3 linked regions of the Sus scrofa genome follow. The protein of the gene in region 2 purifies or fractionates together with the protein of the main gene of each other region. This does not show direct contact. Links are inferred from orthologs where the notes say so. Each region holds a gene or a part of one and is shown on either strand. Other genes may lie near its edges.

Region 1 (5,419 bases), on a different chromosome or scaffold from region 2:
GGTAGTGACTCCCTGCTGGGAACAGTATTATCACCTTCCTCAGGGGAGCTACTGGACAGCCCCAAGGCAGAGCAGGGTGGCGCCGGGACGGCCTCTGAGACCTCCCAGAAATGCCAGGGTGAAAATCCAGAGAGGCGTACTGCCTTTAATATGAGGTTATATGGGACCGTCTGATGACACCAATATTCCTTAAACACTCCTGCAGAAACATTACTAATGGAAAGTATAATCAGAACCTGGGTCAGCCAAGCTCATCCATGAAGTGAAGATAACTCATCTTTTTCTAATTAAGAAAATGAGAGTACTGTTTTAGATAAGGCGCCTGATGAGATCAATGCCAAAATGCTCCCTATGCTCCCCCCCACACCCATCTGGATTTTTTAAGAATATTAATTTTATAAAGCTAGCCTTAACATTTGAGTATATTTTCAATGCTCCCTCAAATTTGTAGCACCCAACACATCATCTTGTATGTAAATACTAAACATTCGAGTAAATGACTTGAATAGAGGACATTGTTTTAAAGTAAACAAAAGTAAACACTGTTTTGTATCACCTATTCTTCTAATATAACAAATCTCTGTATTCCAAAATGTCAAATAATTCAAACTATAATTTGAAGCTACAGCCCTAGAGTTCTGAGAGATTCTTACTGAAAAGATACTTTTATGGGATGTTTGGTGGTGAGAGACAGAGGGCAGGAGCAAAGCCTGTCTTGCTTAACATAATCTCCCCAGCACTTCAAGTGCTAGGTGCTCAGTTAACCTGCTAAATCAAATCACATCAAATCAAATCAATAAAACATTTCAAAAGAACAAGGAACATACCATCCTCTGGTTTGGTCAATGCCTTCAGCAATGAAGTCTGCAGGAAATGAATCCTCAAACTCCCTCTTGTTTTCAAATGGATAATGAATCTGAGCATAGGGCATGCTGCCACTCTCGAACCAACAGTCAAACACTTCAGAGATGCGATGCAACAATCCTTTCCCACAGCGTGAAGGAATGGTCAGGTGGTCAATGCTAATAAACAAAGAAGTAGCCATTTCTATTAACTTTAAGCAAAACATAACTTACAGTTTAATTGCCAAGAGGAAACAGAATGCCCTCACAGCTTTCATATGCATCTGCAAACAGAAATACTGACAGTTATCACAGGTTTTCAGAGAGCACTATGAGTGCTCAATCTGAAAGGTTATATATATGCCAAAGTCTCCTGACACTTAACTCAAGGACAGAGGCCACCTTTCCTCAGAATCATCAACAACAAAGTAATCGAGCAATCTAGTGTTTGATTTCTACATGTGACTCTGTGATCTGCTATAGAGGCCATGTTCAAACTGGCTAGGACCTAGCCCGATACTCTCAGAATAGAACTGAAGTGCACCAAACATTCAGAAACTGACCTCTCTCTGTGGAGATCTGAGACCTTTGCTCCTGATAGTTCTTCAAGTTCTGCCACTGACCCAATGCACACTACCTGTCAAAACAAAGTTAAAAAGCCAGAGTGCCTCAGAGCCAAGGATCACACAGAGTTACTTTATATTACTTTATATGTTAATTCACATTTAGTTTGAGAAACCTTTGATCTTCAAGACGTTTGCAATCAATGTGGCTCACCCTCAGCCGTTCATGACCTACAGTCTTGTTTATTTTTTGCCGCTCCCATGGCACGTGGAAGTTCCTAGGCTAGGAATTAAACCTGTGTCGCAACTGCCACCTATGCCACAGCTGTGGCTATACTGGATCTTTAACCTATTGTGCCCGAAGTCCCTGTATAAACAAGTAGAGCAGGGCTCACTTCTTTGCTGCCTCCCCCATATCAGAGGGGACTCCTACATGGAGAGAGTTTAATCCCACCATTTCAGTAAGTATTTCTTGAAGGCTTATGATGCCCAAATCTCTGCCAAAAATAAACAGCTTAAGTGAAACTGCCTAGACTATTGCTCTAAGGTATCTTAGTTTCTTCCTGGCATTTGAATTTGTCTCTTTAATCTGAAATCTTTCCAAGCCAAAACTAGAACTGATGTAGTGTGCATGGACTGGATGAAATGATCAGACTGCAAGATAATAGGATTATGCTCATGTAAGGAGGCTGGGAAAGGGTCCAGCAGGGACACTTAGGACAGGGGGAGACATCGACAGAGGCTAAGCAGCTGGGCCATACCAGCAGAAACAGTTGCATGTTCGCCCCGAGAGGTCATCTGCTACATAATGAACACCCACATCCTTTTTCTCTGCCCTTCCTGCTCAGTCCTGAAAAGTCCTCCAATTCAGCCTTCACTGTTGCCTTTTAGGTCCCTGTTGGAGATTTACTGAGGTCCCAGGGTTGCTACTACTCATGACTGTTCTATCACTCTCAGCCCTGGATAGAAGGGAATACCTTCTATATGTATGTACATATTTATATAGAGACACACATATATATGCACTTCCTGTACATCTGTATGTACTTATAAAGAGATACACGAAGAAACACTTGATTTTATAAAGGTTTGCAATGCTTTGCTAATTTCTTTTAAGTGCTCCCCTACTTTGTGGCCACCCCATGGTATATGGAGTTCCCCGGCCAGGGATCAGATCCGAGCTATAGCTGCGACTGGATCCTTAACCCACTGTGCTGGGCTGGGGAATCAAATCTGCATCCCAGGGCTCCCAAGATGCCACCGATCCCACTGTGCCACAGCAGGAACTCCTTAAATTGTCCTTTTCAATTACTCCAAGGTCAGTTTAATATGCTGTGACTTAGTGCAGGGTGTGGAGTCTGCTCTGTCCATGAAAAACTCACAAGGAGAAAAAGAGATCTGAGTAACACAAAAAAAAAACAATGTAAGGATTTCCCTGAGAAAAATACAAACTGTACCCTTCACTTTTACACAGAGGGAAAATACTTACATTTAAAATAAAAGTAAAGTAAAAACAAATTAAAACCCTGAAAACATACTCTTATTTGTCATGATTCTAGGAAGGAACAGAGAAAAAATAATTGATGAAAAAAGAAAGGGGCAAATAAAAAAAGAAATAAATACTCTTTTACACCACCTTGAGATGCATGAATGAAGTACTTCAACAGAGATCAACGAAAGGAAACACTGCCCTGCCTCACCTCCTCGAAGTCATCACTGACCCACAGTGGGATAGGAGTGCCCCAGTATCTGTTTCTGGAAATTGCCCAGTCACGTGCATCTTTCAGCCAATTTCCAAATCGCTTTTCACGCACAAACTCTGGGACCCTGCAATAAATAGTTAATAACCAATCACATAGGAACATCAGTGAGTAAACTTGTAAACTAGACCCTTTGTATAAAGCTTTGTGAACCTAATGCTCTCCCAGCACTGAGCTCACTCCTAGGAGGATGTTTTCTGCACGGACAGGACAGCAGACCCATAGTGGCCGCTGCTGCTGTGAATTCATCCCAGGAAAGATGCTTTGTGTTATGAAACCCCACCGTACACAAGCTTTCCTGTCCCGCTCTCCACCTGGAGGACTGCCCCAGTCCCTTAAGCAATCCCATTATCACAGCCAGCCAATTCCCACTCAGACCTAGTCTTCAGATCATACACACAACAAATGCTTTTACTCAAACTCATTAGCAGGGCCTCTTGATCATCTACAAAGTAAGAGTCCGAGGAGTTCCTGTCGTGGCTCAGTGGAAACGAATTTGACTGGTATTCATGAGGACACAGGTTCAATCCCTGCCTCACTCAGTGGGTTAAGGATCCAGCATTGCTGTGACCTGTGGTGTAGGTCAACAGATGCAGCTCGGATCCTGAATTGCTGTGGCTGTGGCTGTGGCATAGGCCAGTAGCTACAGCTCTGATTAGACCCCTAGCCTGGGAACCTAGGGTGCGGCCCTAAAAAAACAAAACAAACAAACAAACAAAAAAACAAAACAAAGTAAGAGTACGAAAAACAGGTGGGCTATCTGTAGTGGGTGGGTAGCTGCCTCTCCCAGGCTCACCTGTAGTCCCCCTGCTAGCCTTAAGGCAAGTTCCTTAGAATGCAGCTTCTCACCTCACTGCCTTTCCCTCCACCTTGATAATATCCTCTACCACCTTCCTTCCCCAAGGCTCCTACTGTCTCTGGCTAGTCAATGACTCCTTATCCTTTAAAGTTCAGCTTTGTAAGAAACATTCCCAAGCCCAAAGCAGAATTAGGGCACTTCTAGGCTCCCAAACATCCTGTCTTCTCAGGTGCTGCAGTTACCATCCTGAGTCAACTTAGAGGCCTGGACCTCCCTCTCTCAGCACATTTCCACCCCGTCCAACGATGACACCATACTAATATTCCATACGTAGCACTCCACTAGGAAACTAAAGAGCTTCTTAAGTATAAAAGTCAAAAAATTGCTTTTTAAGAAATCAGAGTCACTTTGCTAAGAAATAAAGAAAGCTATAGTTTCCTTTTATTGCCCTGAGATTTCCCCATTCTTCCAAAATCAAATGCAGTTTTTAAAGTCAAGTTGGATTCTTGGGGGAATTAAGAAAGAGCGATTACCCTCAAAACTTTCAGTGAAAAACATTCTTCTGGAATACATAATCTTATATCATATTTGCATCTATAGGTTGAAGTATAGTAGTCCCCCTTATCTGCAGTTTCACTTAATGTGGTTTCAGTTACCCACAGTCAACTGTGGTCCAAATAGCTTAAAAGGAAAACTTCAGGAATAAAAAATTCTTAAGTTTTGGAGTTGCCATCATGGCTCAGCAGAAATGAATCTGACAAGGAACCATGAGGTTGTGGGTTTGATCCCTGGCCTTGTTCAGTGGGTTAAGGATCTGGTGTTGCCGTGAGATGTGTGGCATAGGTCGCAAACGCAGCTCGGATCCTATGCTGCTGTGGCTGTGGTGTAGGCTGGCAGCTCCAGCTCCAATTTGACCCCAGCCTGGGAACCTCCATATACCATGAGTGCAGCCCCAAAAAGCAAAAAAAAGGTCTTAGGTTTTAAGTTGCACACAGTCCTAGGCAGCATGAGGAGTTGTGCCCTTGCACTCCACCCTGCTTGGGGACTGAACTATCCCTTGGTCAGGAGTATCCAGGCTGTGTGTACTACCTGCCCGTTGGCCACCTAATAGCCACCTCGGCGGTTACAACCCATTGCTGGTTATCTCAGCTCCCGTGTTCAAACAACTCTTTATTTTACTCAATAGTGGCCCCAAAGTGCAAAAGCAGTGATGTCAGAAATTCAGATATTCTATTACTGAATATTTATGAATTAAACTTTATCGTAGGTATGTAAGTACATGAAGAACACTGCACATACAGCGTAGGGTTTGGTACTACTTTTGGTTTCAGGTATCCACTGGGGGTCTTGAAACAGAACCCCCATGGAAGAAGGGGGGAGTACTCTAACACCTCTCTAAAGTTTAGATATTAGCTGAGGGGAGCAAGGCTTCTGAAGCTGAAGTGCTTACCCATG
Region 2 (5,419 bases):
TGAACTTCACTCATTTATATGCCAAAATAAAGAAAACATGTATTTAAAAAAAAGAAGAAGAAGAAGAAGAAAAAAGAAAACGTGTATCCATATAGCACTGGTGGTTGTTTTTTCATCCAAGGAAGTCAATAAAATTTAAGAGGTAAGCCCTGCTGGACCTCAGGATCAAACGTGGTGCTGGAAAAATGTACTTTGCTTGAAAGGATAGATGAGGTGAGAGAAACCAGCAACATTCACATGTGGACACGTGCGCCTCCCTGGGGCAAAGGTGTGCAAGAGAAGGGTAAGAACTACTTCGGACACAGAAGGTATTTCTGCACTTCTACATCAGCTAAAGGTCAGAAGAGGTTATCTCAATGGTATCTTTGGCCTTCCCTAAAATTATCAACTTAAATAAACTCTAAAACTATTGGTCTACAGGAGTTCCCGTCCTGCCTCAGCGGTTAACGAACCCAGCTAACACCCATGAGGACGAGGGCTCAATCCCTGGTCTCGCTCAGTGGGTTAAGGATCTGGCGTTGCCATAGCTGTAGCAGACATGGCTCGGATCCTGCGTTGCTGTGGCTGTGGCATAGGCCAGTGGCTACAGCTCCGATTCAACCGTAACCTGGGAACTTCCATATGCCATGGATGCGGCCATAAAAAAGACAAAAGACAAAAACAAACAAACAAACAAAACCATTATAGGTCTACAGAAGTGGCCATGAGACAGCGCTCATATACATGCCTGCCCCAAACCTCCATGCTGAATGCGAGTCACCATTAGAGACTGCCCTGATTTTTGCCATTAAATCCAGACAATTAGTTTCCGAGGAGAGAGAACTAATTTCATGTCTGTTTTCACTGACCTGCCCAGTTTGATAGAAATAAAGGATTAGCCACAAAGAGTAGACAGAGAAGCAAATAAAAACGCAAAAAGAGATGGCACAAGGGACAGAAAGTAAACTTCTTTACAGCGGTGACCAGGTCAGCACGTGCGGAATCCGACAGTTATCAGATGCTGAAAGACAGACAGCACCTACCTGGGTTACTGTGATGACATCTCTCAAGCACTCACCTGGGCCAAGACACTTTCCATCTCTGATTTCTTCTCAGCAGAGCACTTCTTGTCAGACATCAATTTCTGTAAATGAGCTACAAAAACAGGGTTGGTAAATGTCAATTTCGATCGGTCAGAAAAAAAGGACCATGTACTTTTGAGTGTCAACGCTGGACAGGTAAAAAAAATGAACCCAAGGATAATGTTCTTAATTTATATGAATCCCATGGTTGATTTTACAGGGAGAGTCATAGTATTGTCTTGGTTCTTTTGGTGCATTAGAATTTCCAATGATCTTATACGTGTACACACACACACACACATATACACACACACACACATATACACACACACACACATATATATATACACACACACACATATATATACACACACACACACACATATATATATTTTTTTTAAATGAGGGACTAGATCTGTATACTTATAAGATCTGTGCACTTACTCTTTGTATGTTACATCCCAAGAAAAAAACATAATGAAAAATATTTGAGATTAAAGATTAATCCAAAGCCTTTGTTTTGATCAACTACTTGAAAGGATATTTATCTGAGATAAAGAACCATACCTTTCAACAGATGGTCAGCCCGAAAACACTCTCCATTTTTGACATCCTTCACCATGAAATCAGCAAACTTGTCTACGTGGCCAGAGGTCCTAAGTTAATAAATGCCAAGCCAATTAGTCATTTTCATACGAATTAACACATAGATTTTTACCTTGTAAGACAATCTCCCTTCTATATGTTTAGCCATAGTTTACATCTGTGAATCTGAAAGATGAAAGCTTCCATATCTATTATGATCCATCCCACAGCAGATAAAAATGTATGCCTGGAGTTCCCCGTGGCCTAGTGAGTTAAGGGTATGGCATTGTCACTGCTGTCTCATTATTATTAGTGATCCAAGCAAAGTCCAAAACACGAGGATTCTGACTACCCAAGAATTTGTGATAACTCAGTATAGACAATGAACCTAAAGGATTTTTCTGCCACCAAAACCTGCATGGACACTGGTATTTATCTCTACGCAGTTCCCAAAAGTGGAGCAAGGAGTAAAGAATTGGTTGTTCTGATCTTATATCCATCATTAAGAACTCAATTTGTTTTAATTGGCTGAATTCCCTTGCAGCTCAGCAGGTTGTGGTGAGGGTTTGATCCTTGGCCTGGGGACTTCTGAATACCATAGGCACAGCCAAAAATAGACAACAAAATAAATAAAAATAAAAATTTAAATTTAAAAAAAGACAGGAAGGATAAATACAACATTTTTAACATGGCTATCTGTGGGCAGTAAATATTTTCTGTTTTTCTTTATTTTCTAGATTTTCACAATGAACATGGGTAGTTTTTTTAATCAGAAAAAGTTAGTTAGAATTTCCACCTCAAACTAGAAATCTTACTTTAAAACTGGCTCGGGGGTGAGCATGGTGCAATCAATCTCCAGGATCTGTTCCTCTTGGATAAAGTGCTGCCTCCAGGTCTGAATAATATTGTTCTTCAAAGCACATCCAACTGGCCCAAAATCATAGAGGCCACTAACACCTGCAAAATACAGGAGGAAAACGGGTACTTTCCCTTGTTACTCTGAACAAATTAAAGCAAGGAGACACAAGAAACTGATACTTTTAAGACTTCGCTTACTCCCTAAAAATGTATTCAAATTCCTCAATACTGAAGAGCCTTATTTTCAGCTAGCTGACAGAGAGGTAAAATGAAAATACTCTCATTCCATTTACTATTTCCAAACTTGAAATTTCAGGTAGGATTAGCAAAAAACTAGAAAAAGTAAAAAGACCTTCCTCCATATATAAGAAAGAATGCAAAGGCAGATTATAGATTTCTGCTATAGAAATCAGAAAATAATTTGTTGTATCAGCTGAATAAATATGATCTCAAATTTTAGTAGCCAATTCTCTAAAATATTCTTGAGTATTTGAGCCACCATTTAAACCTCAAGAAGTTAAACACTTAGAGATCTGCTCAGACTAAAACTCAAATCAAGGTCGGTAGCAAAGTACTGAAAGTCTAATATTGTTGCAATAATCTCTGAAAACTATGAAAAATACCATTCTACATTTAATCAGTGAATTATATTTGTCTACATAAATTCACGTGGTGTTCAGAAAAGATGCAGATGTATTTGCGTACCTATGAAGCACGTTCTCTCCTGGCAGCTGCCACAATGACTGATCTAGGAACTATGGTTTATCAAGCCCTTGTGTGCAGGGGCACAGTGCAGTCGGCCAGTGTACAATGGCCCCTCCTGCTCCCTAGGCTCCACTGGCATGGACACATCAAGTGTTTAATATCGGGACCCCCCTTAATTCCCTAAGTCCTAATGCAAAAAGTCGCCTTCAAGAACAAGGAGGGTGTAGGGAAACAAGAACAGACATCACACCAAGTGACCAACTCGAAACAAATGACAGCAAGATAACTAGCCTCTGCTTCGTGTGACCGGATATAATTAGCTACCAATTGGCAAGCTGTGTTTCTGATTTAAGAACATTAAATCAGGAGTTCCCGTCATAGCTCAGTGGGTTAAGAACCCAACTTAGCATCCATGAGGATGTGGGTTTGATCCCTGGTCTTGTTCAGTGGGTTAGGGATCTGGTGTTGCTGTGGGCTGAGGTGTAGGTCGCAGACATGGCTCAGATATGGTGTTGCTGTGGCTGTGGTGTAGGCCAGCAGCTGCAGCTTCGATTCAACCCCTGGCCTGGGAACTTCCATGTGCCGCAGTTGCGGACCTAAAAAAAGGAAAAAAAAAAAAAAGATTATTAAATCCACTAACAACACAATTGTTCTTTCTCTCATCAGTTCCCTACCTCCATAAATAGCAAAAGCTTGATCGTAGAAAAACCTCCTCTTCAGGGTATCTTCCATTTTTGCTCTGTCTACCACATCATCTTTGGGCTGTAACGCTAGCTCCTATAGGGATTTTTAAAGAGAAAATACATGACTGGAGGAGTGAGTGGGAATTTCAATTTACACACATGAATTTGTTTTATTCCTCAGCAGAATTCAGTATAAAATTTATCAGACAAGATTTGGAGACCCTTAAAACAAGAGAAACCTTAGGGTGTTTTCCCCTTTGAGTTCCAGAAAAGACACCCTTACTTAACTATTTAGGAAAGTGTGTGATCATTTCCAAGACTATCAGACTAAGCTTACTTAGATGCAGATACTGAACCAATACTTGATTTTTCAGTGGATCACTGTAGGGAAAGTGACTTAAAACTTCAAACTGGGAGTTCCTGTTGCGGCTCAGTGGTTAACGAATCCGACTAGAAACCATAAAGTTGTGGGTTCAATCCCTGGCCTCGCTCAGTGGGTTAAGGATCCAACGTTGCCATGAGCTGTGGTGTAGGCCAGCCGCTACTGCTCTGATTCAAGCCCTAGCCTGGGAACCTCCATATGCCGCAGATGCAGCCCTAGAAAAGATAAAAACAAACAAACAAACAAACAAAAACTTCAAACTATTCCAGTTTGGTGATGGGAAATTTATAATTTGAAAGTTCGGGAGCATGTATCAGGTGAATAGAACTTTACCTTAAGAGAAAAAAATTTAAAACATCATCACTATTATTTGCAGACATCAGGGAATTCATAAGAACACAATGCCTTCCAGGAACATTCATGGAACATAACCAGCCTAGGATGTAAGTCAGGGCAGAGAAGGGATGGGTCAGGGAGGAGGAAGGCTTTGAGAAAACGTGACATTTTGAGTTATACGCAGAAGGGGTGAGGAGTCTGCCAAGTAGAGGAGGAGGAGAGGATTCTGGGTAAGTAGAGATACAGCAAATGTGACTAATTCAGAAACTTTTCTAGGTCTCTCCCACCCAAAGAGACTAAATAAAGGTGAATAATTCTATACCTACTTATGTTCCTTTTTCAGGATCCCCTAGACTCACCTTTGCTTCCAGAACCCTCTTCCGGGCTTTGAGCTCAGCGACTGCTTTGTCTACATCTACTTGGGGTGCTTTATCTTCTTTCAGTTTTCGCACAAGGTCTCCCTAGGCAACCAAGAGAATGCGTATTCAGGACTGGTTGGTTTCCAGAAGTCAAGAAAAGCATTTTGAAGCACGCCTTGTAAAAAGTGTAAGAATGAGGAAATTCAAATGTTTACTATGTGAAAAAAAGTTCCTTATGAATAACTGAAGGTCTCTGCCCTCAGCCTTTATAATCCAGCAGAATATACAGATGAGTACATAAATAACCATGCTCACAGGGTGATTACTACTGGTTTGTTTTTTCTCTTTGTGAGGACTGGATGGATGGAGGAGAGAAAAGCACTGACAAAAAGTGAAGAGCTAAGTCAGTACTGAGAACACAGAAGAACCAACAGACCACCCTCTCCGTGA
Region 3 (6,035 bases), on a different chromosome or scaffold from region 2:
AATATCCTCTAACACTTTCTAGGTACCTAAAATGTACAGTCAAAATTTCCCAAGTTGGGAGTTCCCGTCGTGGCTCAGTGGTTAACGAACCCGACTAGTATTCATGAGGACATGGTTTGATCCCTGGCCTTGCTCAGTGGGTTAAGGATCTGGCATTGCCATGAGCTATGGTGTAGGCTGGCCGGCAGCTACAGCTCCAATTCAACCCCTAGCCTGGGAACTTCCATATGATGCAGGGGTGGCCCTAAAAAGGCAAAAAAAAAAAAAAAAATTCCCAAATCGGAGTTCCCTGGTGGCCTATCAGTTAAGGACCCAGTGTTGTCACTGCTGTAGCCTGGGTCATGGCTATAATATGGATTCAATCCCTGGCCTGGGAATTTCCATGTGCCATGGGTGTAGCCAAAAAAAAAAAAAAAAAAAAAAACCCAAACCATACAAAGAGAACACTGTATTTCAGAAATACAGTGCTAAACAGAAATGAGGTAAAAGAAAGTCTCCATAATTAAAGGTTTAAGAAATACTGAATTTGAGTTCCCACTGTGGTACAGTGGGTTAAGAATCTGACTGCAGCAGCTCAGGGTGCTGAGGAGGTACAGATTCGATTCCCCACTCAATGCAAGAGAGTTAAAGAATCCTGGTGTTGCCATGGCTGTGGCACAGATCGCAGATGCAACTCAGATTCAATCCCTGGCCCAGGAACTTCCAAATGCCTCGGGTGCAGCCATTAAAAAAAAGAAAAAAAGAAACACTGGATTAAACAAAGTTAACAGGTTTATTTGCAGAACTTCCTAAAACTGAATCTCCAAAAGCAGAATTTCCCAAACTTATGTATTACAAAACTCTTTCTACCTTCCACTGCTCATTACCAGGACCTATCAACTCTTCTCTTTCCAGGGACATATCTGAGGAAATGTTCATTAAGCAATTACTTTCTTTCACAACTACTTTATACCCAGTATGACTTCTAAGAATATGTAAATAATATTAGTTTTATGATTTAGCCTAGAAGCCATTCTCAGCATCCCTCACTAGCCTCAAAGTCATTACACGGTATAATTAGAGAAAAGCATTTTAAGGATTCATTTCAGGATATTTTTTAATTGCAGCTTTCTCACTGCTTTTAAATATGATATTATTTACAAGTGTGTCATTTGTATATACCATCAGACCAGAAGGATATAACGCCACATTTCTAAAAAACAGAAAATCCGTTAAAAGCTGTGGATAGCTCAAGTGAACTGAGACTCTTTCACAAAGCCAAAGGTAAAACAAATTAAAAACGGCAAAGTGAATTCCAAAGAACCAAGAATAAGAAGATAACAAAATACATTCGGAAAATTGGCACACTATTTTTCTCTGGGAGATTCATAATGCTTATTAGCACATTAAATGTTCCAGTAAGTCCTGCAATTTAAAAAAAGCCAGTTCAGGAGTTCCCACTGTGGCACAGTGGGTTAAGAACCTGACTGCAATGGCTTGGGTCTGACACAGAGGTTAAAGGATCCAGTGTTGCAGCAGTTGCGTGTAGGTCACAGCTGTGGCTCATATACAATCCCTGGCCAAGAAACTTCCATATGCCTTGAGACTGGCCATTAAAAAAAAAAAAAAAAAAAGCTGGTTCAACACTGTTTACTCTGTTGCTTCTCAAATTTATTTAACCATAAAATCTCTTTTCTTCCTTCTCAGTAACACTTATTAACATCCGGAAACAATCTGGTAAGTTTCATAACAGTTTTATCAGTATTTCTGACTGGAAAAGGCATATCAAAAAGAACTGTTAGACCTCATTCTTTCGCTTCAACATTCTTCAATGTTGAAAGGGAATAATCTTTTAGGGAAATGTGAACAAGCAGCAGGTAATTAGAAGGTAAACCTCTAAATTTTCCCAACTAATCTCATTCCCACTCAATTTCTCTGCCTAGAAATTTTATTTTAATAATTAAGATGGGGGAGGGAAATGAAGACAAACTTATCTTCTTAGCAGTAAACTTTCAGAACTTAAAGAGGAAATAAAGTATGGACCCTATTCCTGGAATCATGTAAAACTCTGGTAGAGGTTAAAATTAAAAGCAGGACCTTAGAAATGCCTCAAATACTAGTTCTTCATTATCACCTGTTTCCTCAGCAGTAAAACACTGGAATGCGGATACTGGCGTTATGAAAACCCCAATATCCAATCTCCACCCTAAAAGCCTCACCCTTCTCTGAACTTTTTCTAAACCAATCTAATTTTTTTTTCTCTCTTTTAATACACCTGTACTTTGACTACCTTTTTTCCTGGAACAAGATGAAGAAATGACCACAACCAGAGAGTCAGGTACTTGACTAGGCACACACCTTATCACTCAGGAACAGTTAATTACCAAACAAAGCACACTAGGGATTAATCTGTTTGCAAATTCATTACCTCACAGTAATCAAAACCAAATCACCTGCTTTTGCAAAACCATTCTACTACCTAGACATAGCAAAAGAATAACTGAATCTAAAGTCAGCTCTACAGCTAATAATTTCAACAAGCTATTTATAGTTGTTTCTGTTTTGTGCCTTTTTTTTTAATCTACTCTAAATTTAAACCTGCTCCTCATTTCAGAAGCTGACATTAGCACAAAGTTAAAACACGGGAATAATATACACTAATGAGTACAAAATAACTCCTGCTCAGTTCCTCTTGACAAAGGCTACAAAGAATAAGTCCCCCAGAAAGCTTCAAATTCTATTACAGTCATACCACCCTTAAAAAAAGTATTCCTTCTTCCAGAGTTAGGTCAGTTGTACATTTCAGTAAGAAAGGTAAGAACTCAATTCTTTTTTACTGATGATAGCTAAGTAAATACCAATTTTAGAGCATATCAGTCATTCCAGATATAATTCTGACAATTCCTTTTAACTCGCACTTTTAGGCGATATTAAAATGACTAAGTCTCAAAAAATGGAATAAAAGGGCCTAACTTTATGTATTAACTGTTCTAGGTAAAACAGTCACTAAATGTTCACCAACATTTTTCACAAGTGTTTCAAGAGGATGGTACACGTAAATGATAAATGATGTAAGATCTATCTCCAGGGTCACGTCTGGACCCATTCACAAGATATTAATTAGCCACGGTTTCTGTTGAGACCCCCCCCGGGGGGGGGGCCGCCGCTGCGGGGGGGGGTGGTAGGTGGCAGGAAGTAAGATCGTGCATAATGCCATTGTCGTAGCTTTAGCTAAGGTTCGAATTTCTTCTGGGCCTGCCCGAAAGAAAGCAGCTACAGTATTTTTTAAAAGATAAATCCTGGACGAATGCAATCAATAAAATTCAAGAGACCTCACCTGATGTTCCACAGGTTGCCTCACTCACCTGGTGGACTCTGAAGTCACTCCCCTCCACACCTCAGTTCCCTCAGCCCTCGCTCCTTTTCCAATACAGACCTTTCTCTTCCCTCCTGGTTTGTGTCTCGGTGCAAAGCCCTCTCTGGCCCCCCAGATTCCCTATAGGACCCGCCCTCCTCTCAGGTGCCTTTCTAGGTTCACCACCACCCCGCCAGCTCTTAGAGGCCGGCCTCCGCCCCCAGCACCCGCAGTCACCACGGGACGCCCCCTGCCCAACACCCAGGCTTCGCACCCTCCCGACTCCGGTTCCCGCCAGCGCAACCAAACCTCAGCGGCGCCCGCACCGCACCCCAGCACCGCCCCGCAACACACCCCCCGCCCGCGGCCCCCTTACCGCACATGATGCAGGAGGCACGGTCGGCACAGGAAACAGCGAGTGGCTGGCGAGTTCGGGAGCTCACACGAGCCTGTGGGACGATCTCCGGGCTTGGGGGCCAAGGGGTAGCCGACACTACAGCCTCAGAGATGCGGACAGCCGAGGCAACGACAGCGGTCTCGGCCTCCCGGGCTAGCGAACAACCGCCGCCGGGCCCCGCCCCCCGGCGCGCACCGCGCCGCCGCCGCCGCCCGCAAGTCCCATTGGACCGCTTCCGTGCCGCTCACAGGCACGTCCCGCCTCCCCGCGCCGCTCCGCCCCATCCCGCCCCTGAGCCCACGCAGGCGCTGGCCTGCTGGCTGCCGAGACGTGGCACCGGCTCGCGGTCGCATCCGCTTGAGGTTCCTGGAGCCGCCCTGACTAGCAGCGGGAGGTACTACGCTGTGGGGGAGAAAGAACTCGCTGGCTGGCCGGGAATGACGGAGAGATTAAGAAACAGGATGGAATTGTTAGCAAAGCAAATAGCCTTGGGGAGTGCGCCTCGAGCAGACCAGGGCCTCAAGCTATGGCACCCCCAGGAAGCGGGGAGAGAGGAGGAAGAAAGCAGGAAGCTTGATCCTAGGGGACAAACAAGTCAGGTGGAAAGGAGACATAAGGTTAAAGAAAAACTATGAGGTGAGGTCAGGTTCAGCCAGACTTTCTGGTGACAGACGATTCAGTTCAGGACTTAAGCTCTAAAATCATATGCTTGGCCTCTAAAACCCTCTGCTGCCCATTTCGATCCCCATCCACTGCTCCATAAACCAGTTTTTTGCGGAGGAGGGAGAGGTCAAATTTTACAACGCAACTATCGAACGCTGTGCGCCCAGCCTTAAAAAACTCTGCTACCCTAGACTTGAGATGGCCCACGGGAGAGGACTGTAGGAACTGCCTCCATTTGGTAGACGTACATTTGACTCTGAATGATTAATTCTATAAATTAATGCACCATTGCTGGCAAGAGAGACTTAATCAGAGAGAGATGATGTTTCTGAAAATTTATTACCTGAGCATTTGCTTTAAGATTTAAATGCTATCTTTAATCAAATGTAGATGGTTATCATAACTCTATTAATGGCCCAAGACTAGAATAAAATAAAAACTTAGGGAACATACAGAACAGTGCATGATCTTCTTATCCTAGGTGTTTGGTCTTAGCTCACACTACTGCTCTCTCCCTTCCGCACCTTTCAACACTTTACACTCCAACAAACCTGGGAGCAGGTAGTCCCGAGTGGGCTCACATTCTCACACCTTTTTTACTCTTTGGAATCCTCACTCCACCTCTGCCTAAATGCTGCCTCTTGGAGAAAACCCTTTGTGTCTTCCCCAGAGACTTAAGGACATTCATTCACCTCACATTCTTTGAACTGCCCCCCTTAAAGCAACATGCTTCTATATTTTATGATTTTTTAAAAAATATATTTCCCTACAAAGCTGTTTCTTAAGGCTATAGTCTTTGCAAACCCGACATCTAGTATAAGCCCTAGCAAAAAGGGACCAAAATGTTGAATGAATGAAAAAAACAAGTGGGAAAAAAAAAATGTTCCTAGCAGATTTGCCTTCCTAAGGCTAGTTACCTGATTAAGTGAGCAAAGGGCTTTTCAGTTTTTCTTAGAGGGGAAAAGATGCCCTTTTAGCATTATCTGGAAAAGATGAAAACTCTGATTAAAAAAGATACATGCAGTGGCAGCAGTAGACTGTTTTTCTTGGTCCTAGGGTAAGAGAATTTGCTGCCCAGTGGCTTAAGACTTTGGCTTTGTCTGAGAGATGGGTTGGGAAAGTGGCTAGGGCTTCATGCCTGTCTGCCAGCCGCTCCTGGCCATCTCCCGGGGGCCTGTGCCATCCTGAAAGGCTCTCTCTGTCCCCTGCCTGCTCCAAATCCTTCTAGAGAGCTACTTGGTGGCAGCTCAGGGAACAAACTCCTCTTGTGTCTGAGACCCCCAGCTCTTTCATACTGTTGCACTAGTCTACACTTTTCCCTTTAAGAATTCATTAAAATTTAGCTGATTTCTTTTGTGGGAGCCTCCATCTCCACTTGTCACCCTTTGGAATCCAGTTTCCTTGTTTGCTTTGCTGTCTCTCCTCTCTGCTGGGCTCGATAAATATTATAATCTGTATATTATCCAGCTCCTTCTTGTTGTTTGGGTAGAGTAATATTCCCTTGTATCTTCCTACATTTTAAGGAAAAGTAGAACTTGGTCCTAAGGTTTTTTCATTTGTTTGTTTTTGTCTTTTTGAGGCCACACCCATGACATGTGGAGGTTCCCAGGCTGGGGGTAAAATCGGAGCTGTGGCCCCTGG

What was found.
Region 1: the proteins of GARS (region 2) and IARS fractionate together in Homo sapiens (co-fractionation; 3 studies listed by BioGRID). This does not show direct contact. The link is inferred for Sus scrofa from reciprocal best matches to the Homo sapiens genes GARS1 and IARS1.
Region 3: the proteins of GARS (region 2) and GFPT1 fractionate together in Homo sapiens (co-fractionation; 3 studies listed by BioGRID, with this or other methods). This does not show direct contact. The link is inferred for Sus scrofa from reciprocal best matches to the Homo sapiens genes GARS1 and GFPT1.

Annotation. Positions count from the first base shown.
Region 1 is NC_010445.4:41,983,943-41,989,361, forward strand, and holds part of IARS (isoleucine--tRNA ligase, cytoplasmic), read right to left. Parts: intron 3,233-5,419; coding exon 3,106-3,232; intron 1,480-3,105; coding exon 1,406-1,479; intron 1,023-1,405; coding exon 828-1,022; intron 1-827. UniProt on the Homo sapiens protein: Catalyzes the specific attachment of an amino acid to its cognate tRNA in a 2 step reaction: the amino acid (AA) is first activated by ATP to form AA-AMP and then transferred to the acceptor end of the tRNA.
Region 2 is NC_010460.4:42,337,422-42,342,840, forward strand, and holds part of GARS (glycine--tRNA ligase), read right to left. Parts: intron 5,072-5,419; coding exon 4,970-5,071; intron 3,987-4,969; coding exon 3,884-3,986; intron 2,604-3,883; coding exon 2,462-2,603; intron 1,718-2,461; coding exon 1,629-1,717; intron 1,135-1,628; coding exon 1,058-1,134; intron 1-1,057. UniProt on the Homo sapiens protein: Catalyzes the ATP-dependent ligation of glycine to the 3'-end of its cognate tRNA, via the formation of an aminoacyl-adenylate intermediate (Gly-AMP).
Region 3 is NC_010445.4:73,026,633-73,032,667, reverse strand, and holds the start of GFPT1 (glutamine--fructose-6-phosphate aminotransferase [isomerizing] 1), read right to left. Parts: upstream 3,919-6,035; 5' UTR 3,718-3,918; coding exon 3,711-3,717; intron 1-3,710.